Elephas maximus indicus: one gene and its partners. The protein of the gene in region 3 purifies or fractionates together with the protein of the main gene of each other region. This does not show direct contact. Links are inferred from orthologs where the notes say so. Each region holds a gene or a part of one and is shown on either strand. Other genes may lie near its edges. The genes, in order: NUP160, NUP107, SPAST and NUP43.

Region 1 (8,361 bases), on a different chromosome or scaffold from region 3:
GCTCCAGCTTAATTGTGCTTACTTACTAATCGGGAGTACATAATTTCACCTGAGTTTCACCACATCTCTGATGTGAAAACCAGGTGAAATTGTGCACTACCAGGCAATAAGTAAGCACAATTAAGCCTGTTCGTGTACCTTGCATACAGGGTAATCAGTCCCTGCCTACAGGTGATCCATTAGTAAACTTAACAAATTCTCCTTCAAAACATTATCCACAATCTGATCATTTCTCACTGCTTCGACTACTACCGCTTGGTTGAAGCCACAATCATTTTGTCTGGATTGTGGCAGCAGCCTCCTAATTGGTCTCTGCTTCCACCCTCCCCCTATTATGCTCTACTCTCAACACAGCAGTCACAATGATCCTTTAAAAACACACATCATTCCTCCACTGAAAACCCTCCAATGGCTTCTTCCCATCTCACTCAAAGGAAAAGCCAAAGCCTTGAGGTAACCGACAAAGCCCTGATCGGGCCCTTGGCTACTTCTCTCTTATCATTCTATTCTTTGTTCACTCAGCTGCAGACTCCTGGTCCCTCGTCATTCTTTGAACACAACAAGAAGCTCCTGTCTCAGGGTTCTCTGCACTTTTTGTCCTTTCCTGGAAGGCTCTACCTGAAATGCTCTCCTCCCAGATATTCTCATTTCCTCTGCTCAAATGCCAGGTTATCACTGGGTCCTGCCCAACCACCCTATATAAAATGGTAACTCCTGTAGGCATTTCCTTTCCCTTTCACCTGCTTTCCTCTATTCTACTTGTTTTGTTGTTGTTATTTATTGCCTACCTCTCAACGAGAGTGGGAATTTTGCTATATTCCCAGTCCTAAACATTTTTTGGAACATAGTAGACACTCAAAAATATTTCTTAAATAAATGAAACTTGTATTTCTAACACATTATATCTAAAACGTGAATCTCTCTTCTGAGCCTCCGCTCCGTAAATCCCAACATGTACTTGTCATTTCCATGGGGCTGTTGCACAGGCACTTCAAATTTGGTACATACCAAAGTATTGCTCTCTCTCCAAAACTCATTTTCTGTATCTCAGTAAATGGCAAGAACACCCCCCGCCCCGCAGTATCTGGTTAGTCACATCAGAAACCTGGGATTTGTCCTTGCTCTTCCCTTCCCCCAATATTCAATCTATGACCAAGACCTAGCAAATCTACCTTCCACACATATCTCAAACACATACATCTATTTCTCTTTTCTTAGCCACTCCCACAACACAAGCCACCAGCATCTCTTACTTAGTCCATTACAAAAGCAAATTGTTCTTTTCTATTACCCCTACCCAACCCAAGTCCATTTTCACACATTAGACTTCATCTTTTAAAAATGCCATTTTGATCATGTTAGTGACTCTTTAAAAACCTGTCAGTGACTGCTCAATATATTGTGGATAAAAATCCAAAATTCTTAAAATGGCTTGAGGAGGATCATTTGTGGTCTGACTGAGTTCTGCCTCAGCATCTCTCCCACCACTTACTCCTATACCCACTGTAGTCAAGCCACACAGGCTTTTGGTCAGTTCCTCAAACCTCTCAAGTTCTTTCTACTTCATGGCCTTTGCATATGTTGATCCTTCTTGATGGACGGCTTGCCTTCTCCAATGCCTCACTAACCTTCCATCCTTCAGATCACAGCTTAGCTGTGACTTTCTCAAAGGCCTTCCCAGCCCAATCTAAATTAGGTCCTCCCACTGACCTCTTACAGCCCCCGTACTTTTCCTCCGGGGCAGGTACAAAATTTTGTATTTATATGCCTATAATAGTGGTCATTAGGTTAATGTCTCTTTTCTTCCACAAAACTGCCTCATGAAATCTAGGTCTATATATGTTCTTTCCCTACTACAACTCTAGCGCCTAGCACAGTACCTGCACTGATTAAAAGCCCAACAAATAACTATTAAACGAATGACTTAATCAGGGAGTAAATAAATCCATTACAGTTATATGCACTTAGTGTCTTTATCTACAATACGGACAAGGCAATATCTAACTCACAGTCGTTTCAAGTATTAAATGAGATCATGCATATGACAGTATAAATGCAGGTTTGTTTTGTTTTTTGCTCACCATTTTATCCTTGTATCTACCATAATGCCTAACATGTTGAAGTTCAACAAATATTTACAGAATGAAGGAAGGTATAAAGTACTATAAAACATAACGGGTTCATGTCTAAAACCTGGTCTTTGGGGGCTTTATTCCCTAAGCTACATTCCCTCTGCTTTTAGTGCTGCCTGGACTGTATCTCTCCTAGAACTCTCTGTCTCCTTAATTTTCCCATGCTTCAGACATGAATTGAAAACCGGCTTTTTCCTTTCCTACCTGTCGATTATCATTCCGGAAAATGACACTTTGGAAATAGCCACAAAAATCCAGACACCGAACAACCCTACCTTCCAGGGGGGTTTGGCGAACACGGCACTCACCAATGAATGAACCTGTTTCTGGTGACGGAGAATAATTTAGCACTTTCCACATAGTAGAAGCCTCCCGCGCTCTCACTGTATTTCACCGCTCCGGCCACAGCATTCACAGTCCCTGCAAAAGGAGCGCGGTCAGCCTGCACACGTGGTTCTCTGGGGATGACAGGGGTTGAGGTCGCTGAGGAAGCAAAGGGTAAGACAAGCATGCAGAAAGAAGAGGATGACAAGAGCAAAAAGCCGGACACCGGGAAAGCTCTGATCCAGGGCCCGGAGGCATACAGACTCGGAAGAATGAACTGGGGCACGGGAAAGATACCAGGGGCCCCATGGAAGGAGCCAGAGAAGAAGATCGCGGCCTCCCTGGTCGCTTCCGTACCAACGCCGCAGACCGTGAATTCCCGAAAATGCCTCGGCCTTTCGCGCTCGGCTCCGCTTAGCTCCAAAAAGCTCCGTTCCATGGCTCCCGCCGCCGCCATCTTCCCGCCGCAGCCGCGAGGCCCGACGGGATACGGACAAGGCCGTGCGGCAGTCGTCACTTCCGGGGACGAGGTGAGCGGAGTCGTGAGCAAGTGAAGAAGCACGGAGAGGAGAAAGGCAGGCCGGACCCTCCTCCATTGCAAGGCTGCCACAGAGTGGGCGAGAGAATGAGGATGGGCAGGGCGGGCGTCAGCAGAATAAAGGGAAGGAAGTCGAGTCGGTCTGCGACAGCCTTCGAGTGGCGGGCTAGGGTGCCTCCGGAGTGTTGCTCTTTCCCTAGCGGCCTTAGAGCCGGGGGCGGGGCCGGGCTTGTGGCCTTTTTAAAAATGCGGACGCGGGCTTTGGGGCTGAGGCTGCCAGGAGGAGCGAGGTCGGCTGAGGGCGGGCCGGTGGGCGTCGCCTCCGCATCCCAAGTTTGCTGTCACTTCCTCCTCCGTTCCGAAGCCCTGGTGGTGCACTGGTTAAGAGCTGGGCTGAGGGAAATGTGTTGGTTCGAACCCACCAGCTGCTCAGCGGGAGAAAGATGTAGCAGCCTGCTTCTTACAGCCTTGGAAACCCTATAGCTTTGTTCTTCTCTGTCCTGTAGGGTCGCTGTGAGTCAGAATCCACTGGATGGCATTGGTCTACCCTCCACAGGGTGTCTTCTGTAAATGTCGGCCTGATCTCCCTTTCTTTACCCTTCGGAGACACCTGGGGTGGAAGGAGAGGCAGTGACGAACAACGGAACCTTTTTTCTGTTGAAATTTTTTCAAGACACTGTATTCGTGTAGAATGAAACTCAATAACATGTTAAACATTGAAGCTGCAATCTGCTGTTTGATGTTACGGTTACCTAAGCGCTGCTCACTGGCACGCGTAAAGGCGTTCGCCTTTTGTTCCACCCCTGATCTCGCTCTTGGCTGTCAACGCAGAAGGATCTATAGTGGATGTTTAGAAGATGTGGGTTTACACACCATATCTAGGGCTGAGTAGATGCTCAATAATGAGAAAACTGCTAATTTTAAAGAGAAAAGGTTTTTTGTTTAGTGATAACCTTTGTTAAGCACCCCTAACCTTGTATTACCAGAAACGGAAACCTTTCTCTGTCATTCACCATTTCATTCGTCCTATTCTGATGTATTTTTTCCAGCTCATTCCCTCTAAGACACCAAATCCAGCGGTCCCTCCATTCCAACTACAGTCCATTGTTCCTTCACATTTTCACTGTCCCTGCCTTGATGTTTTGTTCTTACTCTGCTTAAATTCCATTAAATCACTTCATTGCCAGCTCTAGCTCTCTTCATCATAGTCTGGTAAAACTGACCACTTTGAATCTGCATCTGAACAGGCTGGATAAAAATACATGACCATGTTGTTGTTAGGCGCCCAATCGGTTCCCACTGGTAGGGACCCCCATGTTCAACATAACAAAGCACTGCTTGGTCCTGCACCATTCTCACAACCACTGTTATGCTTGAGCCCGTTGTTGCAGCCACTGTGTCAGTCCATCTCGTTGAGGGTCTTCCTCTTTTTCGCTGACACTATTTTACCAAGCATGATGTCCTTCTCCTGGGACTGGTGCCTCCTTGATAACATGTTCAAATTATATGAGACAAAGTCTCGCCATTCTTGCTTCCAAGGAGCATGCTGGCTATAGTTCTTCCAAGACAGACTTGTTGGTTCTTCTGGCAGTCCATGGTATATTCAGTATTCTTTGACAACACCGTAATTGAAAGGCATCAATTCTTCTGCCTTATTCATTGTCCAGGTTTCACATGCATATGAGGCAATTGAAAACACCATAGCTGAAGTCAGGTGCACTTTAGTCCTCAAAATGACGTATTTGCTTTTAACACTTGAAAGAGGTCTTTTGCAGTAGATTTACCCAATTCAGTGTTATTCCTCACTGCTGTTTCCATGGGCACTGATTGTGCATCTAAGTAAAAATCCTTGACAACTTCCGTGTTTCCTTTATTTATCATGATGTTGCTTATTGGTCCAGTTGTGAGGACTTTTGTTTTATGTAGAGGTGTAATCCATACTGAAGGCTGTTGTCTTTGATCTTCATCATTAAGTGTTTCAAGTCCTCTTCACTTTCAGCAAGCAAGATTGTGTCATTTGCATATTGTAGGTTGTTAATAAGTCTTCCTCCAATCCTGATGCCACATTCTTCTTCATATAGTCCAGCTCCTGGGATTATTTGCTCAGCATACAGATTGAATAAGTATGGTGAAAGAATACAACCCATATGCACACCTTTCTTGACTTTAAGCCACACAGTATCCTCTTGTTCTATTCTCTTTGTCCAAGTACAGGTTCCTCACAAACACAAGTGTTCTGGAATTCCCATTCTTCACAATGTTATCCATAATTTGTTATGATCCACACAGTTGAATGCCTTTGCATAGTCAATAAAACACAGGTAAACATCTTTCTGGTATTCTCTACTTTCAGCCATGACCCATCTGACATCATCTATGATAGTCCTTGTTTCACATCCTCCTCTGAATCCGGCTTGAATTTCTGGCAGTTTCCTGCCTTCCAAATTTCTTGGCAGAGACAAGTGAGTGCTTGCAGTGCTGCATCTGTTTGTTGAAACATCTCCACTGGTATTCCATCAATTCTTGGAGCCAATGCCTTCAGTGCAGCTTGGACCTCTTCATTTAGTACCATCGCTTCTTGATAATATGCTACCTACTGAAATGGTTGGATGTTGACCAATTCTTTTTGGTATAGTGACTCTGTGTATTCTTTTCATCTTCTTTTGATGCTTCCTGCCTTCTTTAATATTATCCCTGTACAATCCTTCAATATTGCAACTTGAGGCTTGAATTTTGTCTTCAGTTCTTTAAGGTTGAAAAATGCGGAGTGTGTTCTTCCCTTTTGGTTTTCTAACTCCAGGTCTTTGCAGAAGGCAAAGTAAAGTCTTGGGCCACCCTTTGAAATGTACTGTTCAGCTCTTTTACTTCATCAATTCTTCCTTTCACTTTAGCTACTCTACATTCAAGAACAAGTTTCAGAGTCTCCTCTGACATCCATTTTGGTCTTTCCTTTCTTTCCCATCTTTTTAATGACCTTTCTTCATGTATGATGTTCTCGATGTCATTCCACAACTCATCTGGTCTTCGGTCATTAGTGTTCAGTGCGTCAAATCTCTTCTTGAGATGGTCTCTAAATTCAGGTAGAACATATTCAAGGTCGTACTTCGGCTCTCGTGGACTTGCTCTAATTTTCTTCAGCCTCAACTTGAACTTCCATACGAGCAATTCATGTGTTCCACAGTTGGCCCCTGGCCTTGTTCTGACTGATGATATTGGACTTTTTCATCAGCTCTTTCCACAGATGTAGTTGATTTGATTCATGTATTTTCCATCTGGTGAGGTCCATGTGCGTAATTGCTGTTTATATTGTTGAAAAAAGGTATTTGCAATGAAGAAGTCATTGGTCTTGCAAAATTATGTCATGAAATTTCCAGCATTGTTTATATCACCAAGTTCATATTTTCCAACTACTGATTCTTCATCTTTGTTTCCAACTTTTGCATTCCAATCATCAGTAATTATCAATGCATCTTGATTGCACGTTTGATCAATTTCATACTGCAGAAGTCAGTAAATATCTTCAGTTTCTTCATCTTTGGCCTTAGTGGTGGGTGTGTAAATTTGAATAATAGTCATATTAACTGGTCTTCCTTGTAGGTGTATGAAACCATCCTATCACTGACAGCATTGTACTTCAGGATAGATTTTGAAATGTTCTTTTTGATGATGAACACGACACCATTCCCCTTCCCCAAGCATACTAGACAATATGATTTTATGATTCAGAATGGCCAATTCCAGTCCTTTTCAGCTCACTAATGCCTAGGATATTGATGTTTATGGGTTCCGTTTCCTAGACTCATACTTCATACTTTCCAGGTTCCGATTATTAATGGATGTTTGCAGCTCTTTCTCCTCATTTTGAGTTGTGCCACATCAGCAAACGAAGGTCCCAAAAGCTTGACTCCATCCACGCCATTAAGGTTGACTCACTTTGAGGAGGCAGCTCTCCCCCAGTCGTATTTTGAGTGCCTTCAACTTGAGGGGCTTATCTTCCAGCACTGTATCAGACAGTGTTCCACTGCTATTCATAAAGTTTTTACTGGCCTATTTTTTTTTTTTCAGAAGTAGACCACCAGGTCCTTTTTCCTAATCTCTCTTAGTCGGGAAGCTCCACTGAAGCAGTCCACCAAGGGTGACCCTGCTGGTATTTGAAATACTGGTGGGAAAGCTTCCAGTATCACAGCAACATGCAAGCCACCATGGTATGACAAACTGACAGACAATGTGATGGATATGTGACCATACTGATAGCAAAAAAGACATTTAAAAAAACCCAAAAAACAAACTGGTTGTGTGGAGTCAATTCTGACTCATAGTGACTCTATAGAACAGAGTAGAGTGCCCTTGTAGGGTTTCTAAGGAGTGGCTGGGGCATTTAAACTGCCGACCTTTTGGTTAGCAGCCAAGCTCTTAACCACTGCACCACCAGGGCTCCATCTCTTCAGTTGTTGTCAGGTGCCGTTTAGTTAGTTCCAACTCATAGCACCCATATGTACAACAGAATGAAACACTACCCGGTCCTGCGACATCCTCATAATCATTGTGTTTGAGCCCATTGTTGTAGTCATTGTGTCAGTCTGTCTTGTTGCGGGTCGTCTTCTTTTTTGCTGATCTTCTACTTTCCCAAGCATGATGTCATTCTCTAGGGACTGACCCCTCCTGATAACATGTCCGAAGTACGTAAGATGAAGTCTTGGCATCCTCACTTCCAGGGAGCGCTCTGGCTGCGTTTCTTCCAAGACAGACATGCTCGTTTTTTCAACACCACAATCCAAAGGTGTCAGCTCTTTGGTCTTCCTTGTTCATTGTCCAGCTTTCGCATACATATGAGGCAGTTGAAAATACCGTGGCTTGAGTCTAGTACATCTTAGTCCTCAGAGTGACGTCTTTGCTCTTTAACACTTTAAAGAGGTCTTTTGCAGCAGATTTGTTCAATGTAATACGTGGTTTTATTTCCTGACGGCTACTTCATGGGTAGTGTTGATTATGGATCCAAGTAAAATGAAATGCCTGAAAATTTCAATATTTTCTCCATTTATCATGATTTTGCTTATTGGTCCAGTTGTGAGGATTTTTGTTTTCTTTATGTTGAGGTGTAATCCGTACTGAAGGCTGTAGTCTTTGATCTTTATCAGTAAGTACTTCAAGTCCTCTTCACTTTCAGCAAGCAAGATTGTGTCATCTGCGTAACACAGGTTGTCTTCAACCTATCATGATGCCGCATTCTTCTCCACATAGTCCAGCTTCTGGGATTATTTGCTCAGCATACAGATTGAATAAGTATGGTGAAAGGATGCAAACCTGACACACAGCTTTCTTGATTTTAAACCATGCAGTATCCTTTGCTCTGTGTAAACAACTCCC
Region 2 (8,332 bases), on a different chromosome or scaffold from region 3:
AAACTCAAAGCCCTATGGATCACAATAGTCCAATCCTGGGGTTGCCATAAGCTAGGGTCAACTCCACTGCAACAAAGCCTCACTTTCCGTTTTGGTAAGATGGAGATGCTATCTATCCCACAGTTAATGTGCATTTATGTAAAGCACAGTAAGCTGCAATCATTAAATAGTGGCTGCATTCATTATTATTATTATTGATACTGCAGCCAAATATATTCATTATGTGTATAATAAATATTAATTGCTATCATTAATGTTATCATTCAATGCTTTAAAAGCAAAAAATCTTACAAGGCTGTCGAAATGAGCTGGGAGTTCGAGGAATAACCTGGTTTTTTGGTGTAGTGTTAGCACAATTTTCGTCTTGCGATGCTCGAACTGTTAGGAAAGTTAAGAAAAGTTTCCAAGTAGAAAAGAGATCCTTTAAGTTAGAATTAACCGTATTTGCACTATACAAAACATGGGAATACATATTTAAAGAACCAGGTATTTTACAGCTACCTTTTTTTAAAGAGTAAATAATTCTGTCTGCCATTTAAATTCTTAGATGTCAGTAGTAGACCACTGTCGTTCACTATGAGTTCTTAGTTCAATTCCAAATTAAAAAAAAAAAATCTATAACGTCAGCAGAAGCTAACCATAATGACGATCAGCAGTAAGATGGTACAGTCTTATATTGAGGGAAATATAAATCTTAATCTCATTACCAAATAACAGTATCTGTGGAGTGAGCAAAGCTAATTTCTGAAGCATTTTATTATTACAGTTAGTGTTCAGTATCTCTCATAAAAAGAAGTCTATAACCCAGATTCCAAACACGTTGCAATTTTTTATAAATATGCGTAAAATGTAAAGGATACTTAAAACTCTTTTTTGAGCACTCTGTTTCCGTGCAGTCCGAGTCACCTCTGCCTCTCGGATCGCAGGGGATAACATCTCTCCAAAGCCACTCCTAAAATAGTGAATAAAGTGAAATGTGAATAAAGTGAAAATGTAGCATTCAGAAAGAACTTTAACATCATGATAAAGGACCTTGAGTCAGTCAAGGTATAGGTAATTCCAGTAGCCAAGACTTTGATCTTTTTGTTTAGAACGCCCTCTTCACGCCAAATTCTGATTAAGCCTCAATCACACTCAAATCTTACCAGCACAAAGGCTTCTTTGACTTTTACTACATTAAAGTTTTCTCCTAGGGAATTACTTCAACTCTTGAAATCTGTATTAAAATAACACTGTTTTAGATAACTGCTTAATGAATGTAAATCTTTCCCCTACTGGATTGAGATGTTCTCTAACTGCAGGGACCATATCTTAAAGGATCTTCCGTAGTCTCCAAAGTACCTTAAAGCATGGGTACTAAGGAAAAATGTGTTGCTTGAGCTGGTGAAATAAGTAAAAAAGAATGCTAGCGAACTGGAGAGAAATGACCCTTCAAGTCATTTCTCGATATGGTGCAATAAGGCATCTCCTCTCGCAGTATCTCCTCTCTCACTACCTGTAATCTCTAACGCTCCAGATCACCCCTACCACTCTCACCTGAAGGTCTAGAAGCTAAACAGTACAGATTATGAGGCCTCTTTTAAAACACATATCGAATATGCTTTTTTTCCACTTAAAACCCTGATAGCTCTCTTTATGGCTTATAGAATCCAGTCCAAATTCCTTAGCCCGGTATTTACAACCTGACTCCAGCTTACCAATCCAGTCTGAGCACCAAACATTACTCCATACAAACATACACTGCATGTGACCATTCAGGTACACAGAGCAAGCACCTTCATACTCTCACATCTTTGTACATGCTGTCCCTTTTACAGAGGTCTACTTTTGCCCTCTTGTCCACCTGGTGAACACTTACCTGCCTACAAGCAGCCTGAGGTTAAGAACTCCAGCAATGGAGACACACAGATTCAGGTTTAAAATTTGGTTCTTCTATTTACCCTGGTGGCACAGTGGTTATGAGCTATCCTACTAACCAGAAGGTCAGCAGTTTGAATCCACCAGCCACTCCTTGGAAACCCTGTGGGGCAGTTCTACTCTGTCCTATAGGGTCGTCGAGTTCGAAGAGACTCAACGGCAATGGGTAATTTTGACCAGAACAAATCTGTCTTAGAAAAAGCACAGCCAGAAAGTTCCTTAGAAGCGAAGATGGTGAGACTTTGTCTCACATACTCTGGATATGTCATCAGGAGGGATCAGTCCCTGGAGAAGGACATCATGCTTGGTAAAGTAGAGGGTCTGTGAAAAAGAGGAAGACTCTCAATAAGATGGACTGACAGTGGCTTCAACAATGGGCTCAAACATAGCAAAGATGGTGAGGATGGCGCAGGACCAGGCAGTGTTGCATTCTGTTGTACACAGGATCGCTATGAGCTGGCATCTAATCTATGGCACCTAACAACAACTATTATTCAAAGACTAATTTGAAAGCTACCTCTTTTGAGAGGCCTTCCTGCTACCTCCCTTGACAGGGAGACTATGCTTCCCTCATTTACGTCAACGAGCGTGCATTACAAAACATTTATCACTTTATACTGTGTAGTTAAAACCCATTGCCAGCGAGTTGATTTCCAATCATAGCAATCCTGGAGGGCAGGGCAGAAGTGCCCCATGAGGTTTCCAAAGCTGCAATATTTAGAGAACCAGACTGCCCCATCTTTCTCCTGCACAGCAGCTGGTGGGTTTGAACCACTGCCCTTTTGGTTAGCAGCAGAGAGCCTGACCACTGCTTAGTAGTCTCCCTCGATACACAAAGAATCCCCCGAGGCAAAGGACCTTGATTAACTCATCTTTGTCGCCAGCGGCCAGCACAGTGCTGGCTCATAGAAGGAACTCAATAACCATCTGCTGGGATTTGGAATCAAATTCTGGGCTGAGATTCCAATTTGTCACTGACTGGCTTTGCGATCTCCGGCAGGTCACTTAGCATCTCGAATCTGCAGCCGCTACTTACCTTGCCCACCCCAAGAGCAGAAAATGATGTGGCGCCAAAACGCCGAATAGGTCGCAGGGCCCCGGTAGGAAAGCAGAGGATTATTATTACCCGTACTCTCCATCCCCCAACCCACACCCAGAGGCCTTTCCTCCGTCAGCTGCAAGTCTCCCAGTCCGGGAAGAGTCCTGGGGGAAGCAACCGGGACCTCTTGGGCTTCCTGAGTCGGGTTTCACCTATTTCGTTCTGCCAATAGACAGAAGGGGCAAATCTCTGGGCTCGGTTGTCACCATGTGAACTGACCTGTCCATGGCTACAGCCCTCTCCTCCAAAAAACTTGCAACCTTGGTTCTAGTTTAGCCACCGCGTTTCAGCCTTCCCGCTCTCCGGAAGCAAATCCTCGGACCCGGAAGCATACCCACGCTGACCCATCCCCAGAGGAAATAAGTGGGAGGAGAAAGGCAAAAACTCCATCTAGCGCATGCGCGACTTGTTCCGTCTACCGCCGCAGACCCAGCTGGCGCAGGCGCAAAGGCATGACAGTTTTGGACTCGAGCGGGACCTGACCAGGCCGGGGAGGGGCGGGGCCTCACCAGGCTTGGCCGTTACTTGTAGCCGCCACTTCGCCTGACTGATGTTTGTGGGAGTAGTCCAAGGGCTGGGTTATCATGTTGGGAAGCATGTCGACGTACACTGCTTGTATAAGAAAATATGAAGCCATTTTCTGGTATTCTCGGTCAGAATGAGCCAGGACTTGGAATTCAGACGTTGGAGATCTTCCTACCCCGCAGGGGTCCCTGTCTCTCTCAACTCCACTCACCTTGTTTGAATTGTGGTGTAACCCCCTACAGTTTCTTAGTTGTTTTCCATAATTACTATTTGTCTTTTACTTGGTGTTTTTTCCTTGTTATGAAGAGAAGCAGCATGAAAGTGTTAGTATTGCTCTCTATTTGCCTTCCAGCCAAAAAGTATATTCTGGTCTCGAACGGATCTATTGAAGTTTCACCTTAGACATTGAGGAACAGATTTAATTCTGAAATCCAGATTTCTGGGGTCCATGGAGTTGAGGTGACACACCCAAGCCATTGCTTTGAGATCTTCTTTTGAACCTGGAGCCTTGAAAAAATAGGTTTCTAAAAGTCACCTTTGAGTCAAACAATGGTTTAGGTAAACCATTAAAGTAAGACCAATTTGCCTTGGGCATTGTGTTGTTTTGAAGAATTCAGTTTCAGGAAACAGACGTCAAAGGTCAGACTAGAGTTATATTTTAGGATACATTAGTAATTATTTTAATTGTTCATCAAGACAATGCTGTATGAAATTTCCTGACCACAAATTGTTTATCAGCTCTGTACCTTTTTCCATGGCAATGTTGATAAGATGGGGTAGAAGAGTCTTTGGAAGTTTTCTCATTTCTCAGCTTTGAAACTCCCTAGTTGAAAATCGTGTATTAAGTAAACTCAATCAATTTCCATTATTGGCTTAATAATGACTCTTGTTTTAACAGTATTTACATTCTAATTCTGGGAAGCCATCATTCCCAGGAAGGCCTTTCCATGTTTTGAATACCGTGGCGTTTTGAATAAAGGTGGCTTTGATGTCCCCTCAGAAACCCTGTGGGGCACTTCTACTCTGTCCTATAGGGTCGCTATGATTCCTACTGACTGAATGGCAGTGGATTGGTTAGTTGGTAATATAGGCTTGAACCCTCTGGAGTATTCCTCATCAGTAGATGGAGATAACACCTTTATTACAGAGTTGTTGTGAGGATTAAAAAGGAAGATGGCAAATTTACACTGCACAGGGTAGATCACTGAAATGTTAATTTCCCCCTATTGGGTTGAAATATTGAAGGCTTCTATGGGCAAAAACATTGAACAATGCAGGAAACATCAAAAGAAGATGGAAGGAATACACACAGTGATTGTACCAAAAACAATTGTTTGACGTCCAGTCATTTCCAGAGGTAGCATATGATCAAGAACCAATGGTACTGAAGTTCAAGCTGCACTGAAAGTATTGGCAAAAAAAAAAAACTCGTCTTCAGGAACTGACAGAGTACTAATTGAGATGTTTTAACAAATGAATGTAATGCTGGAAGCACTCACTTATCTATGCCAGGAAATATGGAAGACGGCTCCTTGGCCAGTCAACTGTAATAGATCCATATTTGTGCCCATTCCAAAGAAAGGCAATCCAATACAATGTGGAAATTATTGAATAATATCATTAATATTACGTGCAAGCAGAATTTTGCTGAAGAGCATTCAAAAGCGGCTGCAGCAGTACATCGACAGGGAACTGCCAGAAATTCAAGTCAGATTCAGAAGAGGATGTGACACAAGGGATATCATTGCTGATGTTAGATGGATCTTGGCTGAAAGCAGAGACTACCAGAAAGATGTTTACCTGGGTTTTATTGACTATGCAAAGACATTCGACTGTGTGGGTCATAACAAATTATGGATAACATTGCGAAGAATGGGAATTCCAGAATAAATTGTGTTCATGAGGAACCTATACATAGACTAAGTGACATTCCTTCAAACAGAACAAGGGGATACTGTGTGGCTTAAAATCAGGAAGGTTGTGTGTCAGGGTTGTATCCTTTCACCAGACCTATTCAGTCTGTATGCTGAGCAAATAATCTGAGAAGCCGGACTAGAAGAAGACGGCATCAGGACTGAAGGAAGACTTATTAACAACCTGTGATATGCAATTGACACAACCTTCCTTGCTGAAAGGGAAGAGGACTTGAAGCACTTACTGAAGAAGATCAAAGACTACAGCCTTCAGCTGGATTACACCTCAACATAAAACAAAAATACAACTGGATCAATAAGCAACATCATGATAAATGGAGAAAAAGATTGAAGTTGTCAAGGATTTCATTTTATTTGGATCCACCATCAACACCCATGTAAGTTGTTATCATTAGGTGCCATCGAGTTGGTTCCGACTCAAAGCAACCCTGTGTACAACAGAACAAAACACTGCCTGGTGCTGTGCCATCTTCACAATTGTTATGCTTGAGCCCATTGTTGCAAATATTGTGTCAATCCATCTCATTGAAGATCTTCCTCTTTTTCGCTGACCCTCTACTTTACCAAGCATGATGTCCTTCTCCAGGAACTAATCCCTCTTGGATAATATGTCCAAGGTATGTGAGACATAGTCTCGCCATCCTTGCTTTTTAGGAGCATTCTGGCTGTACTTCTTCCAAAACAGATTTGTTTGCTCTTTTGGCAGTCCATGTTATATTCAACATTCTTTGCCAATACCATAACTCAAAGGCATCAATTCTTCTTTGGTCTTCCTTAATCATTGTCCTCATGCATATGAGGTGACTGAAAATATCGTGGCTTGGGTCAGGTGCACCTTAGTCTTTAAGGAGACATCTTTGCTTTTTAACACTTTAAAGCAGTCTTTTGCACTGGATTTGCCCAATGCAATGTGCTGTTTGATTTCCTGACTGCTGCTTCCATGGGTGTTGATTGTGGAGCCAAGTAAAATGAAATCCTTGACAATTTCAGCCTTTTCTCCTTTTATCATAATGTTGCTTATTGGTCCAGTTGTGAGGATTTTTGTTTTGTTTATGTTGAGATGTAATCCATACTGAAGGCTGTAGTCTTATATCTTTCATCAGGAGGTGCTTCAAGTCCTGTTCCCTTTCAGCAAGCAGGGTCGTGTCATCTGCATATCATGGGTTGTTAATGAATCTTCTTCCAATCCTGATGCCCCGTTCTTTTTGATATAGTCCAGCTTCTCAGATTATTTGCCCAGTATACAGACTGTATAAGTATGGTGAAAGGATACAATCCTGATGCACACCTTTCCTGACTTTAAACCACGCAGTATCCTCTTGTTCTGTTTGAACTAATGCCTCTTGATCTACGTACAGGTTCCTCATGAACACAATTAAGTGTTCTGGAATTCCCATTCTTTGCAATGTTATCCATAATATGTTATGATCCACACCATTGGATGCCTTTGCATAGTCCATAATACACAAGTAAACATCTTCCTGGTATTCTCTGCATTGCAATGGGCAAATTTGTTGCAAAAGACCTCTTTAAAGTGTTGAAAAGCAGAGATGGCACTTTGAGGGCTATGGTATGCCTGACCCAAGCCATAGTATTTTCAATCGCCTTGTATGCTTGTGAAAGCTGGACAATGAATAAGGAAGACTGAAGAAGAATTGATGGATTTGAATTATGGTGTTGGTTGGTGAAGAATATTGAACATCCCATGGAGTACCAGAAGAATGAACAAATCTGTCTTGGAAAAAGTACAGCCAGAATGCTCCTTTAGAAGGGAGGATGGTGAAACTTCATCTCACTTTAGACACATTAGAAGGGACCAGTCCCTGGAGAAGGACATTATGCTTGGTAGAGGGTCAACGAAAAAGAGGAAGGCCCTCAACGAGATGGATTGACACAGTGGCTGCAACAGTGGGCTCAAACAGCAAAGATTGTGAGGATAGTGCAAGACCAGGCAGTGTTTTGTTCTGCTGTACTTATAGGGTCATTATGAGTCGGATTCAAGTTGATGGCTCCTAACAACAACAGCAATCAGTAATCTACTTGATGAGTCACACCCTGGTGCACTCTCATTCTCTCTGCCTCCTAATTTTCCTGTGCAATAAACAGTGCACTTGTTCTTTTATGGAAAGTGAGACGTGGTCCTAAATGATTTTTGTTAGTACTTCAGCAGGTTTACTCAAAGTGTGAGCCGGTAGTTCAGGTTCTTGCCACACATCCCTTGGCAATTGAATTCCAGTGTGTTTTATTTGTATAAGGTATAGTTGAAATGATTGACCATAAGGCACATAAGGAGCTGCTTTGGGCAAAGGATTAGCCATACATTCAGTTCATATTCAAAAAACAGGAAACTTGTTGAAAAATGCACTGGGGTTCACTTTTGACGTTTTTCATTAGTAGGCAGGAACACAGTGCTGCCCCCAAACATTTTAGAATATATCCATTTGATTGCCTTAAAATTATGTGGAATGAAATCCTTGTGTGGTATATATTGTATACATGTTTTATATTCAGAATTCTTGGTTGCAATAACTGAAATTCACTGTGGTTAACTTAAGCAAAAGGGAGTTTACTGGAAGCGTGTCAGGAGTTCACAGAACTATTAAGAAGCTGACACAAAGGGTTGGGAAAGGACAGTTCCCCAGGCAGCTAAAGGCCAGGAAATAGCTGTATCAAAGGTACTCAAACCTCAACTGTCTGATTTCCAGCAATGCTGCCTCCAGCAGCAGAAGGAATCAAAACCATTACTTTTTTTCCTTCCAAACTTTTTATTTTGACAAATTCCAAGCCTATAGGAAAGCTGCAAAAATAATTCAGTAAACATACATATATTCTTCACCTAGAATCACCATTCACTATC
Region 3 (7,778 bases):
AAAAACACTTATGAGAGTAAATGGAGAAATTTAGGTGTTCTTTCCAGAATATAGGAATTGAGTTTATCTGACAAGATGGGGAGGAGTGTCTCAAGGATAAAGGAAACTTTCTGAAACCACCCTTGAAAATAAACAATTCCTTTTATGTCTCCCAGCATTCACTCAGTGCTAACAGTCCGCATTATTCTGCTCTCCGTGCACACAGTATGCGCTGGCCACTGTAAATATAGAAATTTAGTACATATACACCCAAGTATTTTTTTTAGAGTGCTGATTGAATACATCCTCTGATAATCTAGATTGCTATCCTAGGGCTTTCATTTAAAATTCTCTGTTAACTGATTCTGTTTATTAGTCCATAGCACCATACCTTCAAAAATCAAGTTGAAGAGGTCAGGTAACAATTTATATTCTTACACCTACTACTATTTCAAAACCATGAGCTCATTCACAGATACATTTACTGAAGTAACAAAACCTCTCTAAACTAGATAATCTCAAACTGGTGACACAGTTTTGTTTTTAATTTGTTTAGTAATTTTGAGCCAGTGACTCCCAGCCCATAGATTTCACATAAAAAATTACAATTCTGATTTATCTTGAAAAATTAGAAAAATCTGGCAACATTAGGTCCCACATTCCTGAAAGGCACAAATCAGCTGGAACTGACTAACAGCTACCCTGATTACCTGGGGTATACTCCTCTCCAGTTTCTCACAGTTTCCGTCATTCACAACATATATGTTATTGCTGTTGAAGTTTTTTGTGACCATTGCATTAGACTGTAAAACTGGTTTTGTTCCCTACTGTAATCCTGGCACCTTCTTCATTGGCTGACACATTGTCTGTGCTTAGTACACATTAGCTGAACGAAATGGTTGAATAATTTGTGCCACAAAGTGGCCTCAATGTAGAAAAATAACTTGTTCACAATTTTAAGTTGTTAACACAACCATCGGATAATAATCTCCTAATTGTTACTCTCCTCCTCCCATTCCTCATTCCCAACTATGTCTTTTAATTTTTTTCTCTATTTTACATTTTCTTTTTCAAAAGCAGCTCTCAGCTCTAGGTGTGACATTTTATTTCACTTTTCTTTTTTTAATTGAAAAGAGGTCTTTAATATCTGCCATTGGTTCCTATATCAAATAATCTAACATTTCTCAAGCTGAAAATTCAGGGAAATACTTAGGGGCTGAAATATCAAAAAACAAAACAAGACAAAAAACACCACATTTGGTGCTAGGTGCTTTTGGATATAAATTAATGGGTTAAAGCGATAAAGTGACTGAATGTCCGAGTTAGCACAGAACTCAGCTACTCCTTTTTGTCCTGGTGAAACTAGTCCAGATCCCATTCAAGATTAAGTGTCCTGGAAGCTCTTACCATCTAGAAACTGGGAGGCTGTCACACAGCAGGTTAAACGGTTAAGAAGGTTAGGATCTTCAGACCAGGCTGATTATAAGGCCAAGGTGATGCTAAGGCACTATTTTTCTTAAGACAAATTTAGGAAGATTTTAATTCAGAAAATGGATTTGAGGCTGGGATATAATTCTAAAGGGCAGCAGACGTGAACTGAGAGCGCTGAAAATTGAGATCTCAGTAGAGCCTGAAATCTAGAGTGGCATTGCAGGTATAGTGGCAGAAACAGAAATAATATTTATTGAGTCCTGTTATGTTGCAGGTACTATGCTAGTTTTAGGTACCTTATATCATTTTGTAATTCTTATTCCATTTATTTTACAGAGAAAGGAGTTAAAAAACTTGCTCCTATAACACAACTAGTAAGCATGAGGTATTTGTAAACTTCACATTGTCAACAATGGGGGAATTGTATCACTTAGGATTACTTAGTTTTAGGCAACAGGAAACTATTATGGCTAACTTCAACAGAGAAAGAGAGAAAAAAGGGAGATAGAGATGGGTCTATGGAGAGGGTAAGAGAGAAAGGAAGGGAGAGAACGAGGGAGGAAGGACAGGAAGAGAGAGGGAGAGGAAGAGAAAGAGAATATAGTTTATTGGATAGGTAGCATAACCAAGTGACCATGAACCCAGGCAGCTCTGAGTATCTCAATAGGATGAACTGATGGGCCAGCTCTTTTAGAGTACATAATTCCAACTACCTGTTATCCCAGTTTGTTTTCACCCCAGGTTCCAGTTCCCAGTTGCCCTGGTCAAGTTGTGCTGACTTCCACTATATTTTGTGTGGTCTTTTCCATCACCAAAGTTAACACTTGTCTACTATCTTGTTAATGATTTCCTCTCCATACTCTCGCCTCCCTCGCAACCATCAAAGATTATTTCTTTCTGTGTGGAAACATGTTCGTATTTTTTTATAATAGTGGTGTCATGCAATATTCATTCCTTTGTGATTGACTTATTTCACTCATTATAATGCCTTCCAGATTCATCCATGTTGTGAGATGTTTTGCGGATTCATCATTGTCCTTTATTGTTGTGTAGTGTTCCATTGTTTGTATGTACTATAATTTATCTATTCATTAGTTGAAGGACACTTAAGCTGTTTCCATCTTTTTGCTATTGTGAATGATGCTGCAATGAACATGGACGTGCATACATCTATTCGTGTGATAGCTCTTATTTCTCTAGGAGATATTCCTAAAAGTGGGATTACTGAATCATATGGTATTCCTATTTCTAGCTTCTTAAGGAAGTGCCATATTGTTTTCCACAATGGTTGTATCATTTTACATTCCCACGAGCAGTGTGTGAGGGTTCCAATCTACTCACAAACAGCATTTGTTGTTTTTTTTTTTTTCTCAATGCCATTCTTTCAGGAGTGAGACGGTACCTTATTGTGGTTTTGATTTGCATCTCTCTACTTGCTAATGATTGCTAGCATCTTTTCATGTATTTGTTAGCTGCCTGAATGTCCTCTTTGGTGAAGTATCTGTTTATGTCCTTTGCCCATTTTGTGGTTGGGTTGCTTATCTTTTTATTGTTTAGTTGTTAAAGTTTTCTGTATATTTTGGAGATTAAACCTTTATCAGATATGTCACTGCCAAAGATTTTTTTCCCAGTCTGTAGGTACTCTTTTTACTATCTTGGAAAAGTAGTTTGATGAGCATAGGTATTTAAGTTTTAGGAGACACAGTCATCTAGTTTATCTTCTGGAGTTTGTGCATTTTTAGTTATGCTTGATATGCCATTTATACCATAAATTAGGGCCCCTAGTGTTGTCCCTATGCTTTCATGAACTTTATAATTTTAGGTTTTACTTTTAGGTGTTTAATCTATTTTGAGTTCTTTTTTTGTGTACGGGGTGAGGTATGGGTTCTGTTTCATTTTTCTGCAAATAGATATCCAGTTTTGCCAGCACCCTTTGTTGAAGAGACTATCTCTTCTGCCTTTAATGAACTTCAACCCTTTGTCAAAGATCAGGAGTCCATAGATGGATGGATTTATTTCTATGGTCTTGATTCTGTTCCATTGGTCTATGCATCTGTTACTGTACCAGTACCAGACTGGTTTTACTACTGCAGCTGTATACTAGGTTCTGAGATCAGGTAGTGTGAGGCCTCCTACTTCATTGTTTTTCAGTAGTGTTTTACCTATCTGGGGGGATTTTCTTTACCATATAAAGCTAATTAGTTTTCCATCTTGTTAAAGAACATTGTTGAAATTTGGATCAGGATTGCATTGTAGCTACAGTATGGACATTTTCACAAGTCCTATTCGTGAGCACGATTATGCTTTTCTATTATTAAGGTCTCTTTTGTTTCCTTGCACTAATGTTTTATAGTTTTCTTTTTATGAGTCTTTTACATCCCGAGTTATGTTTATTCCTAAGTATTCCATCTTTGGGGGCGCTATTATAAATGTTATCCTTTTCCTGATTTCCTTCTCTGAGTTCTCATTAGTGTAGAAAAACCTGGGTGATTTTTTATGTGATCTTATACCCGCCACTTTGCTGAATCCTTCTATTAGTTCCAGTAGCTTTCTTGTGGATTATCTGGGATTTTCTATATACGGGTTGCTTTTTAAATGGAACTCAGAGCAATCACCCTTTGGAGAAGACTTGAGTCAACTGGCAGAAAATGACGAAAGAAACGTTAAGTACAGAAAACCTAAACATTGTGAGATATGAGCCCTGGGAACTGGCCGAGGGACCCTGAGAACAGTCGCCCCTCCCCTGGGCTGATTGCCAATGTTCCTGGCTATGAAGGAGTCAGCAGCCTCGGTGCCCGAAGTCGGCAGGCTCAGAACTGCACGCTATGACCGGCAGTTACTCTGGGAACTGGCGCCGCTCACGCGCACTAGAACCCAGGTCGACGAAGATGGCGCTTTAGAAGGCCGCCCAAGAAATACAGGGAAAGACGTGCGCGTGCGCGCCAGTGAAAGACACGAGAGGAGGGGCGTGCGCGTGCGCGCCAGGGAGAGACACGGAGGAAGAGACGTGCGCGTGCGCGCAGCTGTAGCACTGAGCCACCAGGCACTCCGGAAGACAGAGGGAGGTAGGGGTGGAGCAACTGCTGGTGTCAGACTCCCGCATGAAAATGGCTTGTTCTTCTGACTGAAGAAGCCGGCGGGCAACGCGTGGAGCTGCCGAGCTCTGGGGCCAGCGGGCGCGCGGGGGTTTGTGGCCATCGCCGTGGCCGCCGCCGTGGCTTGGTCATCGTGGTTCTGCGGGAGGCGGGTTATGGCGGCGGCGGCAGTAGGAGCTGTGGATGAATTCTCCGGGTGGACGACGGAAGAAGAAAGGCTCCGGCGGCCCCAGCAGCCCGGTGCCTCCCAGGCCTCCGCCCCCCTGCTCGGTGCCCGCCCCTTCCGGCGCCGCGCGGGCCTCTTCGCCCGGGTCGCCGCATAAGCGGAACCTGTACTACTTCTCTTACCCGCTGTTGGTGGGCTTCGCCCTGTTGCGCTTGGTAGCTTTCCACTTGGGGCTCCTCTTCGTGTGGCTCTGCCAGCGCTTCTCCCGCGCCCTCATGGCCGCCAAGAGGAGCTCCCGGGCCGCGCCGGCGTCAGCCCCGGCCTCGCCCCCGGTGCCTGTGTCAGGCGGTGAGGCTGACCACGTTCGAGCCTTTCATAAGCAGGCCTTCGAGTACATCTCCATTGCCCTGCGCATCGACGAGGACGAGAAAGGTATGGTGACAGGGGGCCAAGGGGAAGGGGAAGCGCCGGGAAGCAAGGGGGTGGGGTCGCAGAGGGAGGGTAACACCTGCGTCCGTTTGCTGCGGGAGGGGGCGATGCATCCCCGGAACTGTGCCATTAGCTTTTCACGTGTTGTGTCATTTAATTCTTATAATCAATAATCCTATACGGTAAAGGTGCTGTTGCTGTCACCATTTTATAGGTGAAGAAACTGAGGCTTTATATATGTATGGGTAAAAGCGGGTCATTCCAGACCTATGCTAATAGCTAATGAACATTAGACGGATTCATATTACGTTTTAAAAATCCCTCTTTTCATTCTACCTCCAGTATGCTGAGATGTTGCTTTTCCTTCCAACTCCCAAGGAAACCCACTTTTCCACCATGTCTCAGTTAGGTACTCACTTGTCTTATCCATTAGTGAAAAAGGAGCAATCTACCGTTCATTTTTAGTGTCCGTCTACATTACCAATTCCAGAAACTGTTCCAGGATTTCAGTCTTGTTGAAACCGGTTTCCTTGGTGGGCCTAGTAGTGAAGAGTAGGGTATAGGGGAAGGGGGGGTACTCATCTTGGTTTTGGAATGTGTTGTGGATTGAATTGTGTCCTTCCAAAATATGTTGTAAATTCTAATCTCTATGCCTCTGGTTATAATACCATTTGGGAATGTGTTGTTTTTGTTGTGTTAATGAGGCAGGGTTAGTTTAGAGTGTTTTTTGAGTCAATCTGTTATGACATATAAAAGAGATTAAGCAAGTGAGCAAGCAGAGATGGGGGAAGATTGATGGCAAGCCACATAGAGTTCTCCAAGACACTGGGAAACGAGGTGAAGAGATAAGAACCTTCCCCCAGAGCCCACGCAGAGAGAAAGCATTCCCCTAGAGCCAGTGCCCTAAATTCAGACTTACAGCCTCCTAAAATGTGAGAAAATAAATTTCTGTTTGTTAAAGCCATCCAGTTGTATTTCTGTTACAGCAGCACTAGATAGCTGGGAATTTAAGGGCAGAGTGAAGGTTAAGAGACTTGAACAATAGAGATGCATTTAGGAAAAGAATACTATGGGTTTATTATGGTAGGAAGTTTTTTGTTAATGGTTCTGTTCTCCACCATCTCTTAGGAACATCCAGGATCTCTTGGGGAGGATGAAGAGGGGTACCATGATCCCTTCCTTAGAGAAAACCCCTTTGCCATTGAGTCAATTCCGACTCACAGCAACCCTATAGGATAGAGTAGAATTGCACCATAGAGTTTCCAAGGAGCGCCTGGTGGATTTGAACTACTGACCTTTTGGTTAGCAACCCTTGCTGTTTTTATTACAGTATCATATTACAGTAGGGTCCTCTGAAGTTTACTAATCTAGACCAAAGACATTTTAGAATAGAGGGAATGTGTTTTCGAGTGGATTATTTTAATTAGTATATTTAGGAAAAGAATGCCAGCATATTCAGGGAACTCTTAGTTAACACTGGTTGATGGGAGTTAGAAGTAGGGATGAAAGGCGAGATCAAGGACAATCTAGGTATTGCAATCTTGGGCTCTTATATTTAAAGAAAAAGCAGTCCCATGTGAAGAATAAATGACCAATAGAATGCAGACCTTGGTTTCATGCTGATGACTTATCTACGAGTTTCACTGTTAAATCCTCTTCAAAATATTTTTTAAGTATAAATATTTTCAGTGATGTGTGTATAGGGTCGCTATGAGTCGGAATTGACTCAACGGCATCGGGTTTTGGTGTTCCACATATTTCACTCTTTTTTGACTGATAATGTTTCTATCATGGATGTCAGAATGGATATGACAACTCTTTGGTTTGAATTCTACAACTGGTACCGTCCTCTGCCAAATTAAATTAGTTCAAACTGAAACAGATGAGTAATATATTCATTTTCCTTTAAAACTGAGTTTATTTTTTCATGTTCTCTTCTCCTTTTTAGCATGTTGAAAATTTTTGTATTTGAGCCTTAATCTAGTTATTAAAAGAGAAAGTTCACATGTGAGGTCTATTTACCTCTCAGCCATCCTTGACAACACAAAATTTTATTCCAAGAGAATTAAATTTTCTCCCTCTCTTATTTTATCAGAGTATACTGTGTATGAAATAAATGGGCTAGGCCATCTTCAAAAACTTTGTAACTGGTAAACCATTAGGCTTTAAGTTAGGGCCAGTAATGCCGCTGCTAACCGAAAGTTTGGTGATTTGAACTTTTACCCAGCAGCTCTGGGGGAGAAAGAGCTGGTTATCTATTCCTATAAAAAGTACAGCTTAGAAAATCTTATGGGGCAGTTCTACTCTGTCACATGCGGCCGCTATAAGTTTGAAGTGACTCAACAGCACCTAACAACAACGTCTGCATTACCATCCCTTTGCAGCTTAACTGCTAAATGTACTGAAAGCCACTGTGCAATTTCAGACTGTAGCAGTATTAGTTAATTGAAACATTTGGTGCCTTGAAATGATAAAAACCAAATTAGATCTTAATAAAGTAGTGTATAAATGTTGTGATTTATATGGCAACTGTTTATTTGGAATTCTAGTTGTACTCAACTTGGGCACTGAATTTTCATGAAGGCCTTAATTTGTCTGAAACCAAACTATTTTAAATAGAGAAGACGAGCACAGCAACTTTTATTTACCTAAAGTATATGAAGTCTGTTATTAAAGCA
Region 4 (7,417 bases), on a different chromosome or scaffold from region 3:
AAAGCATGTGGTATCCCTCACATACAATCGTGTGCTGGGGTCCCAGGACCACAAGTCTCTCAGAAACAGCATCCCCTGGTTATCTCTTCCTCCGCCCCCCACAAGCCTTCTCCCAACATCTGCAATGGCAATACTCTCATCTTCCTTTCCCTCCCTCTGCCGGTATCAGACAGTGGCATCTCCCTCCAGAGGAAAAACCGGAGGGCGGGGGAGGCAAAATAAGAAAGCAAGCTTGCAGCGAGGTTGATTATAAAGGAGGAAGGTGAGAAAACGCGGGAGACGAGGGTGGGGCCCCGGAGCTCTAGCCCAGTCTCTAGGCGGCCTGGCCACCACCACCCGACCGCGAGGGCACGCCCCTCGCCCGCCAGACCCGGACCAGAGGCTGCGGATTCGAGTGACAGCCCCACCACCTGTGCGGCACTCCCTTCCCCACACCCGCAGGGAGACAACTGCCCCTGCCCACCAGCAGCGGTGCTTTGCTCTTTCTCTCCCCTTCCCCTCCACGTCGCCGATGAGTGACAGGTCCCGGGGGAGGTGATCTCAAACGCACGTCGTTCGGGACTACCGGTGCAAGCCTGCGCCGAAGCCCTCCGACAAGCGCTGGGGGTTAGACAGGTTAGACAGAAGGTTCCAGCTCGGCCCGAGGGGACCTGGTCCAGGCCCGGCCTGCCCTAGTTGCCCCACGCCGGGCGGGGGTGGCACTTACTGCGGAGGTTGTGGATTAGCTCCGAGTGGCTGGCGCCGCCGGATTTCCAGGCCATCGCTAAGCACACCCGGAGCAGGTACAGAACCACCTTCAGGGCGGCGACGGTGCCCAGCAGCTTCCCCAGGAGTGAGACCACTTCCCAAACGGTGACCGCCCCGCTCGCGTCCCCGCTGTGGCCGCCGCTGCTACTGCCGTCGCCGCTCCTGCCGCCACTGCGCGCTCCCGGCATGCCCCGCGGCACGCATGCGCCCTGTGACGCCGCGCGGCCCGGGGTGCGGCCGGGTGGGGCCGGGGGCGGGCGTGGCGGCGTACCCGCGCGCTTGTTGCTGCAGTGGCTGCTCGGGCACCGCAAGGAGAGCGAGCTGAGTCAGCACCGCCGCCGCGGCTGCATGCCCCTTCCTGAGACCTCGGGCTGCGCGCTGCCCCTTCCCGGGGTTCTCCCTGCGGCCACACCGGCTGGGCCTGGGCGCGGTCGGTCGCGTGCCGGGCCGCGGCTGCGGTTACGCAGCGCGGAGGCGGGATGGCCGGGCTGATCTGTGCCGCCTTGTCTGGCGGATCTGGCTTCGCCGCTGCGGGTGGCTCTGCGGTCCCCTCCGGGTCAGCTGTTGCGAGCGGCGGCTTTGCTCCTATAGCTGCCCAGATTGTTAGATGGTGGGCTTCCTCCGTCCCGTTTAGGCCGGTTAGAGTAAGAGCTCCCTTCGAGGGAGCCTGAATAATCACAGCAGAACCCGAGGACGCCAGCCTCTGGCTTTGTGATAAAAACATCACTGGTTAGCAGAGACTTTGGGACCCTGGTTTGTTCTCAGTCCTAAAGCACACATTCAGAGTGGAATGGGGAGGAGGTGATCTGCTCCTTAAAATAATAAAAACGTGAAGATCTACAATTGGTTAAAAATACCTCAGTATCCTATGGTGAATGTGTTATTTTCTCAATACAAGTGTGCGCTTCAGCTAATGATGCCTCACAAATTCCACTGTCAGATTGGGCGCTGGCTTTATTGCTATGAGCTCTGCAGATGATGAGTAAGAGACTGACGGGGAACGTTGCCTGTTGCATCCAAATTGCTGACTCCTGATCAGAGCTGAGTCTGACAATTCAGGCATCATTTAGTTCAGTAGTCTTTTAAGGAAAGAAGCAAAGCTATGTCAAGACATCCTATGCTGCTGCAGCAGCAGCAACTTCCAAATTCTAGTTTTTAACAGACTGTCAAGTGCGGCATGCCGCCCACTTCCAATCCACAATATACCTTGTCTATTTTTAAGGATCCAGTGACATAAATGAAACCACACTCATAAGTGTTTTCCACTTCAACATTAGGAGTAAAAGTGTTAGTTTGGGACTCCAATTAATTTAGTAGTTTTCCATTTCATCTTTCTGCAGCTTCCTGATGGTCTTCTGGTTGGGGAAAACAAAAAAAATGTGACGTTCTTAAGAGGAACGTGATAATTCTCTAAAGCCGACCAAGACTGACTGCATTTGTATGTGATGCTACCATAAGCTGCAACTGTGAAATAGGACTGCCAATATCAGATACAAGTAACAACAGTAACAACATTTTAGAGAAACAACCAACACACAGTTATAAATACCTATAGCAAAGGAGATAAAAAGATGGACAACTCATACCTCTTGTATGCAGTAGAATCTATATTCTAGTCCAAGAGAGATGTATCAAAAGAAAACTATCAATAGAGGTCAAAGTATAAGTGCCATTAGTGGTCTAGTATCAAGCACTATGTATTTAGCTTATCATGACTGGGGTAATCAGGAAAAAATACACGAAGGAACTGATCTGTAAGGGATGTGCTGGATTCTGAGGAAAGAGGAATGGAAGGAATATTAAAGGTAAAACCAAAAGTACAAGGAGCCCTGGTGGTGCTGTGGTTAAGCACCGGGGCTGCTAGGGTTGGTGTCACCCAGTGGTGTAACTCATGATGTCATTCCCCACCCGTCGCCACGGTCCTCCTCCCACCAGACCATGTAGAACCCTTAGTATTGTTTTTTATACTAATGTTATTTGTAAATTGTAATTCCTGTATATCACCCCTTCTTTTCCTTTAATTACTACTTCTTACTCAAAGTTATTGATATAGGTTCACAAATACTAATAACACGATATTATAGCTAAAACACCAGAAAATTTGACAAAATTAGCAACTATAAAAACACCGACAGCGGTGAAAACAACAGTGCATGTTTATAGCTCCTGCAGACAAAACCAAGTGACTTGAAGCATCAATGTGTAATAATGACAGCTTTGGCCAGAGCACATTGGAAGGTTCAAAAAGTAAATTAACATAGAGTTTTAGCCTTGTAGGTATATTAATACATGCAAGCTGAGCTTATGAGAAATGTTTTTGTTATAACTAACTACAGGGATATCTTTATAGATAGTCATTTTGGTGTCACCCACCTCTGACAGTGTCACCCAGTGCCATCTGCACCCCCACCAACTCCCCCTAGTGAAGCCACTGCACTGGGCTGCTAACCAAAAGGTTGGCAATTTGAACCCACCAGCCATTCCACAGGAGGAAAAACTTGGAGATCTGCTTCTGTAATGATTAAAATAATAATTAAAAAAAAGACAAACCTGTTGCCATTGAGTCATTCCAACTCATAGCGACCATATAGCCTGGGAAACCCTGTGGGCCAGTTCTACTCTGTCCTATAGGGTCACTATAAGCCAAAATTGATCGTATGGCAACAGGTCTTTTTTTGTTTGTTTTGCTTTTCCTATTAACCAAAAGCATAGAAGAAAGAACCTATAGTGCTGATTCCTGGGCTGTTGTTAGATATCGCCAGTGCATTCTTTATTATATACACAAATGAACTGGCCAAAGTTACATAGCTGGGCAATGAGCATCAAAACTAGATCTGGAGTCTTCAGAATTCCAACTACAGGCTCTGACAATGTGTATTAACAACTTTGAAGCAAATGAAAAGAGGAAGAGGTTTAGCATAATAAGTTAGTATATTAGCGGAGGTACTTCTATGAGAACTTAAGGATTTTGAATCTTTTTTTGTATGCAGTGAAGTGCAACTGAATGCTTAGGTGTCCCTAGAAGGTGGTGTCTCCTGCATTGATTTTGTTTTACAATATAAATTTGTTTTATATTGCGCAATTATTGCACAAATACATTCTCTCGGTGTCTCTATACCGATGTTGCAGGTTAGGAGAAGGTGTAACACAAGGATGAAGGCACTCCTGCGTCTTTGTCAGAGGTCGGTGAAGATGGGCATTCCCACTTCAATCAGCCTGGGGGACAGGCTTGGCAACACAATCCGCGCAAGAGAATTGGCTCTCCGCAGCCACCGTCTCCTCTTAAGGCCCCAGCCAATCAGAGTCCCCAGAGGAAGGGGCGGGACTGAGAGCCGCGCGCGGTGCTTTTTCCTGTGTCTGCTGCGGTTGCTTTCAGCATGAAGGCGATGTGTGCTAAGTTTGTGTCTCAGAAAATCAGCAAAACCCGCTGGCGACCGGTGCCTCCGGGGAGTTTGCAGACAGCGGAGACCTTCGCTACGGGCTCTTGCGACAACGAGGTACCCCCGCTCCCGGGGCAGGGAGTTCCTGCCTCCCTCCCGTCTCTGGTCTTGGGAACCGCGCCCCTGGTCGCTGGCGCGCGAACCTTCTACTGGCCCTTCTCGTCCTTCCTTAACCCCCTCCCAGTCCCGGCCTCAGTTGCTTTGTAGCTCAGAGCCAGCGCCAGCGATGGTGTGCCTGAGCCTCGTATCGCCTTGTGTGTGAAAACCTTACCATACCTTTGGTCTGAGGTGGTTTTGAAGCAAAGTTGCATGAAGCCAGTAAAAACGTTAATTTCTGAAGTCGGCGTTTATTTAGTTTCGAGATAAAACTTTTTGCTTTACAGGAAAATTATGTTTCATTGTGGTCAATTGGAGATTTTGGAAACTTGGACTCTGATGGAGGGTTTGAAGGAGACCATCAGTTACTCTGTGATATCAGACACGATGGTGATGTAATGGATTTACAGGTAAGCCTGTGTAGTATCCACAAACTAACTTAAAACAACTGAGAGTAATATACTTAGAGGTGCAGAGGACCTTGAAATCTGTCTAAACTTGACAGGAAACGTTCCTCTGTGGGTTAAATGATTTGCCCAACATCACATAGCCACTTAGTGACAGAATCAGGATTTAGGAAAGTGATGTGGATTTAGTCATAGTTTTTTGTTTTTTTTTTTAATGTCCATTTACTATGATGCCAAGCACTGTGTTGGGAGATTTACGTAATAAATTAGTGTAATTCTAATTTCATGGCTGTAAATCAGTGTTGTTCTCTTTGTTTCACCAGTGAGAAAACTGAGACCAAGAAGATCTGTTGAGCATATGCTTTGTGACAAACAAAATAGAAAGCAGCTTACATGGTTTTGTTCTATGAATCCAACCTCCTACGGAGGAATTAGTAGTTCTATTTTAAAAATTAGAGAACTTTCTTAATTTGGCTCAAGTCTCAAAACCAGTGGTGGTACTGCCTCAAATTCTAATCGTGGGACTGGAATTGAGTATTCAAATTCAGGTCTGTACGGCATCTAAGTCCCTCCATTTTATTCTATAGAAAACTTTTTCACCGTGGGAATGATATTTTTCTAAAGCTTTATTATAGTGGTCCAAAACTCAGTCAATTACAGGTTAAGGAGTTTAGAAAAAGGTTGTTGTTCGTTATTTATTTTGCATGCAAATACCTTTCTTTGTTACAGTAGGTTGGCTTTTCAAATCAGTAATCATGTTTTGTTTGCTTGGTATTTACAGGCTTTTTACTTTTTTAAAATTGTAATAGGATTTACTTTTGATTGAGTTAAGCAAATGGGCATCATTCCTACAAATATTTTTGAATGTATAATAAGCAGGATTTTTCTACTTAGTTTTTGGACCAGGAAAGAATTGTAGCTGCTTCCTCAACAGGATGTGTGACAATTTTCCTTTACCATCAGAATAACCAGGTAAAGAATGCTTTGTTTGAAAATTGAATTTGTATTTTAATTATGTTTAGGAAGACTGTGCTTAGAATTACACAAATAATAAAATTTATGGTTTGAAAACATGAAGGGGGAAAATATCACTGTTATATTACCAAACTTTGAGTGGATTAATTTTAGAACCAGGGAAGGTTCCTAGATGGCGCAAACAATTTGTACTCCACAGCTAACCTAAAGGTTTGCGGCTCGAACCTGTTTAGTAGGACCATGGAAAAAAGGCCTATCAATCTGCTTCCATTAAGAGTACAGCAAAAGAAAACCCTATGGAGCAATTCTGCTCTGTAACATGTGGGTTGTTGTGGGTCAGAATTGACTTGACGCTAACAGGTTTGATTTTTTTATTGAAATTGGATATTCCTTACCTTGTTAAATAAATTCCTTTAGTGTAAAAATAATAATACTGGCAGGCGATTTTACTGCAATTCTGCTTTTTAAAGTTCTTTTCTAGAAAGAAAGAGCACCTTCTAGCTCAGATGCCATGAAGGAGGATGCTAACAGCTACTTTGCTTCTGTGGATAAAGAACCCAGGTTTTATTAGAAGAGAAGATATGCTGTGTGAAGACTTGACATTTTCTCAATGCCTTTCTTGTTTGCTAACCCCAAGAGTGCTGACCTTCAGAGCACAGTGGGGAGGGCAGTTTTTAAAAATAGCCCCACTTGCTGTAACACAGTTTTAAGTTGCTAGAACAGAGTGCTTATGTAGGTTTTGGGATTAATAAAGGTCACTTTGTTAATAGGTGTGCCTAGTAAACATGAGACTCATATTGTTAAGTATTTTTTTTAATGGAGTTGTTTAGGAAGAGCTGTAGAAATTTATTTTTTAGATATAGATTAATTCCCTTAAGAATTGTTAAAGAGTTGCTTTTGAACACATAATTAATACCAAAAAACTATATCTTCAGTGAGATGAATGTGGGACATTATTAAACATTCTTTTTGAATCTAATTTTGTATATACAGAGCTTTGATGAAAGTAATTATTAGACTTTAGTGTACTGAAACACAAAGGAGAGAGGAAAGAATTACTCTTTTTCTAGAAGGGTGTAAAGCAGAATCCAAAAATACTCTGGTTGGAGAAGAGTGTTCGTTTTTAAGAACTTTGCTTTGGTTAATGGTATCCTCATATCTTATACCTAGACTCTGTCTGTCAGCCATCAGTGGACAACAGCTCACTGCCACACTGGTCCAGGCAGTCCTTCCTATAGCAGCGCACCATGTACAGGTGTAGCGTGCAACAACCCAGAAATTGTCACTGTTGGTGAAGATGGCAGAATAAATCTCTTCAGAGCTGATCACAAGGAAGCTGTGAGAACTATAGGTAAGCAAAATCATTATATTTCTTTCTCCGTCACATAAGTGAACACGATGCTAGGCGTTTGAGAGATATTAAAATATACAAGGCAGGATCTCTTTATCAAGGCAGTATTTTGATAAGGCTCATATGAATGAGTAGAATAACATGATAACATGACTGCAGAGGAGAGAGAAGTCTTTTTATTAATTTTTTTTGCCTGGAAGGGATTATCAGTAAAGCATCAGGGAATAAGTGACGATGTAGGTTATGGATCTTAAGCAATACTAAAAGGATGGCACATCGGACAGAGGGAATCACTTGGAGGCTGAATAAGACTATTCAGAGAATGACAAAAAGTGTAGTTTGACTTGACCTTAGATAGATAGGAGAAGTGAGAAATGAAGCAAGAAAGGCATATTGAGACC

Evidence for each region.
Region 1: the proteins of SPAST (region 3) and NUP160 purify together in Homo sapiens (affinity purification with mass spectrometry; 3 studies listed by BioGRID and IntAct, with this or other methods). This does not show direct contact. The link is inferred for Elephas maximus indicus from reciprocal best matches to the Homo sapiens genes SPAST and NUP160.
Region 2: the proteins of SPAST (region 3) and NUP107 purify together in Homo sapiens (affinity purification with mass spectrometry; 3 studies listed by BioGRID and IntAct, counting the BioPlex papers as one, with this or other methods). This does not show direct contact. The link is inferred for Elephas maximus indicus from reciprocal best matches to the Homo sapiens genes SPAST and NUP107.
Region 4: the proteins of SPAST (region 3) and NUP43 purify together in Homo sapiens (affinity purification with mass spectrometry; 3 studies listed by BioGRID and IntAct, counting the BioPlex papers as one, with this or other methods). This does not show direct contact. The link is inferred for Elephas maximus indicus from reciprocal best matches to the Homo sapiens genes SPAST and NUP43.

Annotation. Positions count from the first base shown.
Region 1 is NC_064825.1:103,190,501-103,198,861, forward strand, and holds the start of NUP160 (nuclear pore complex protein Nup160), read right to left. Parts: upstream 3,210-8,361; 5' UTR 2,914-3,209; coding exon 2,814-2,913; intron 2,553-2,813; coding exon 2,441-2,552; intron 1-2,440. UniProt on the Homo sapiens protein: Functions as a component of the nuclear pore complex (NPC). Involved in poly(A)+ RNA transport.
Region 2 is NC_064822.1:129,494,095-129,502,426, reverse strand, and holds the start of NUP107 (nuclear pore complex protein Nup107), read right to left. Parts: upstream 3,329-8,332; 5' UTR 3,244-3,328; coding exon 3,236-3,243; intron 953-3,235; coding exon 861-952; intron 379-860; coding exon 292-378; intron 1-291. UniProt on the Homo sapiens protein: Plays a role in the nuclear pore complex (NPC) assembly and/or maintenance. Required for the assembly of peripheral proteins into the NPC. May anchor NUP62 to the NPC. Involved in nephrogenesis.
Region 3 is NC_064844.1:35,589,872-35,597,649, reverse strand, and holds the start of SPAST (spastin), read left to right. Parts: upstream 1-4,411; 5' UTR 4,412-4,688; coding exon 4,689-5,103; intron 5,104-7,778. UniProt on the Homo sapiens protein: ATP-dependent microtubule severing protein that specifically recognizes and cuts microtubules that are polyglutamylated.
Region 4 is NC_064819.1:221,024,365-221,031,781, reverse strand, and holds the start of NUP43 (nucleoporin Nup43), read left to right. Parts: upstream 1-4,076; 5' UTR 4,077-4,124; coding exon 4,125-4,244; intron 4,245-4,570; coding exon 4,571-4,693; intron 4,694-5,584; coding exon 5,585-5,662; intron 5,663-6,835; coding exon 6,836-7,016; intron 7,017-7,417. Other genes in the region: PCMT1 (protein-L-isoaspartate(D-aspartate) O-methyltransferase), read right to left, coding at 707-935. UniProt on the Homo sapiens protein: Component of the Nup107-160 subcomplex of the nuclear pore complex (NPC). The Nup107-160 subcomplex is required for the assembly of a functional NPC.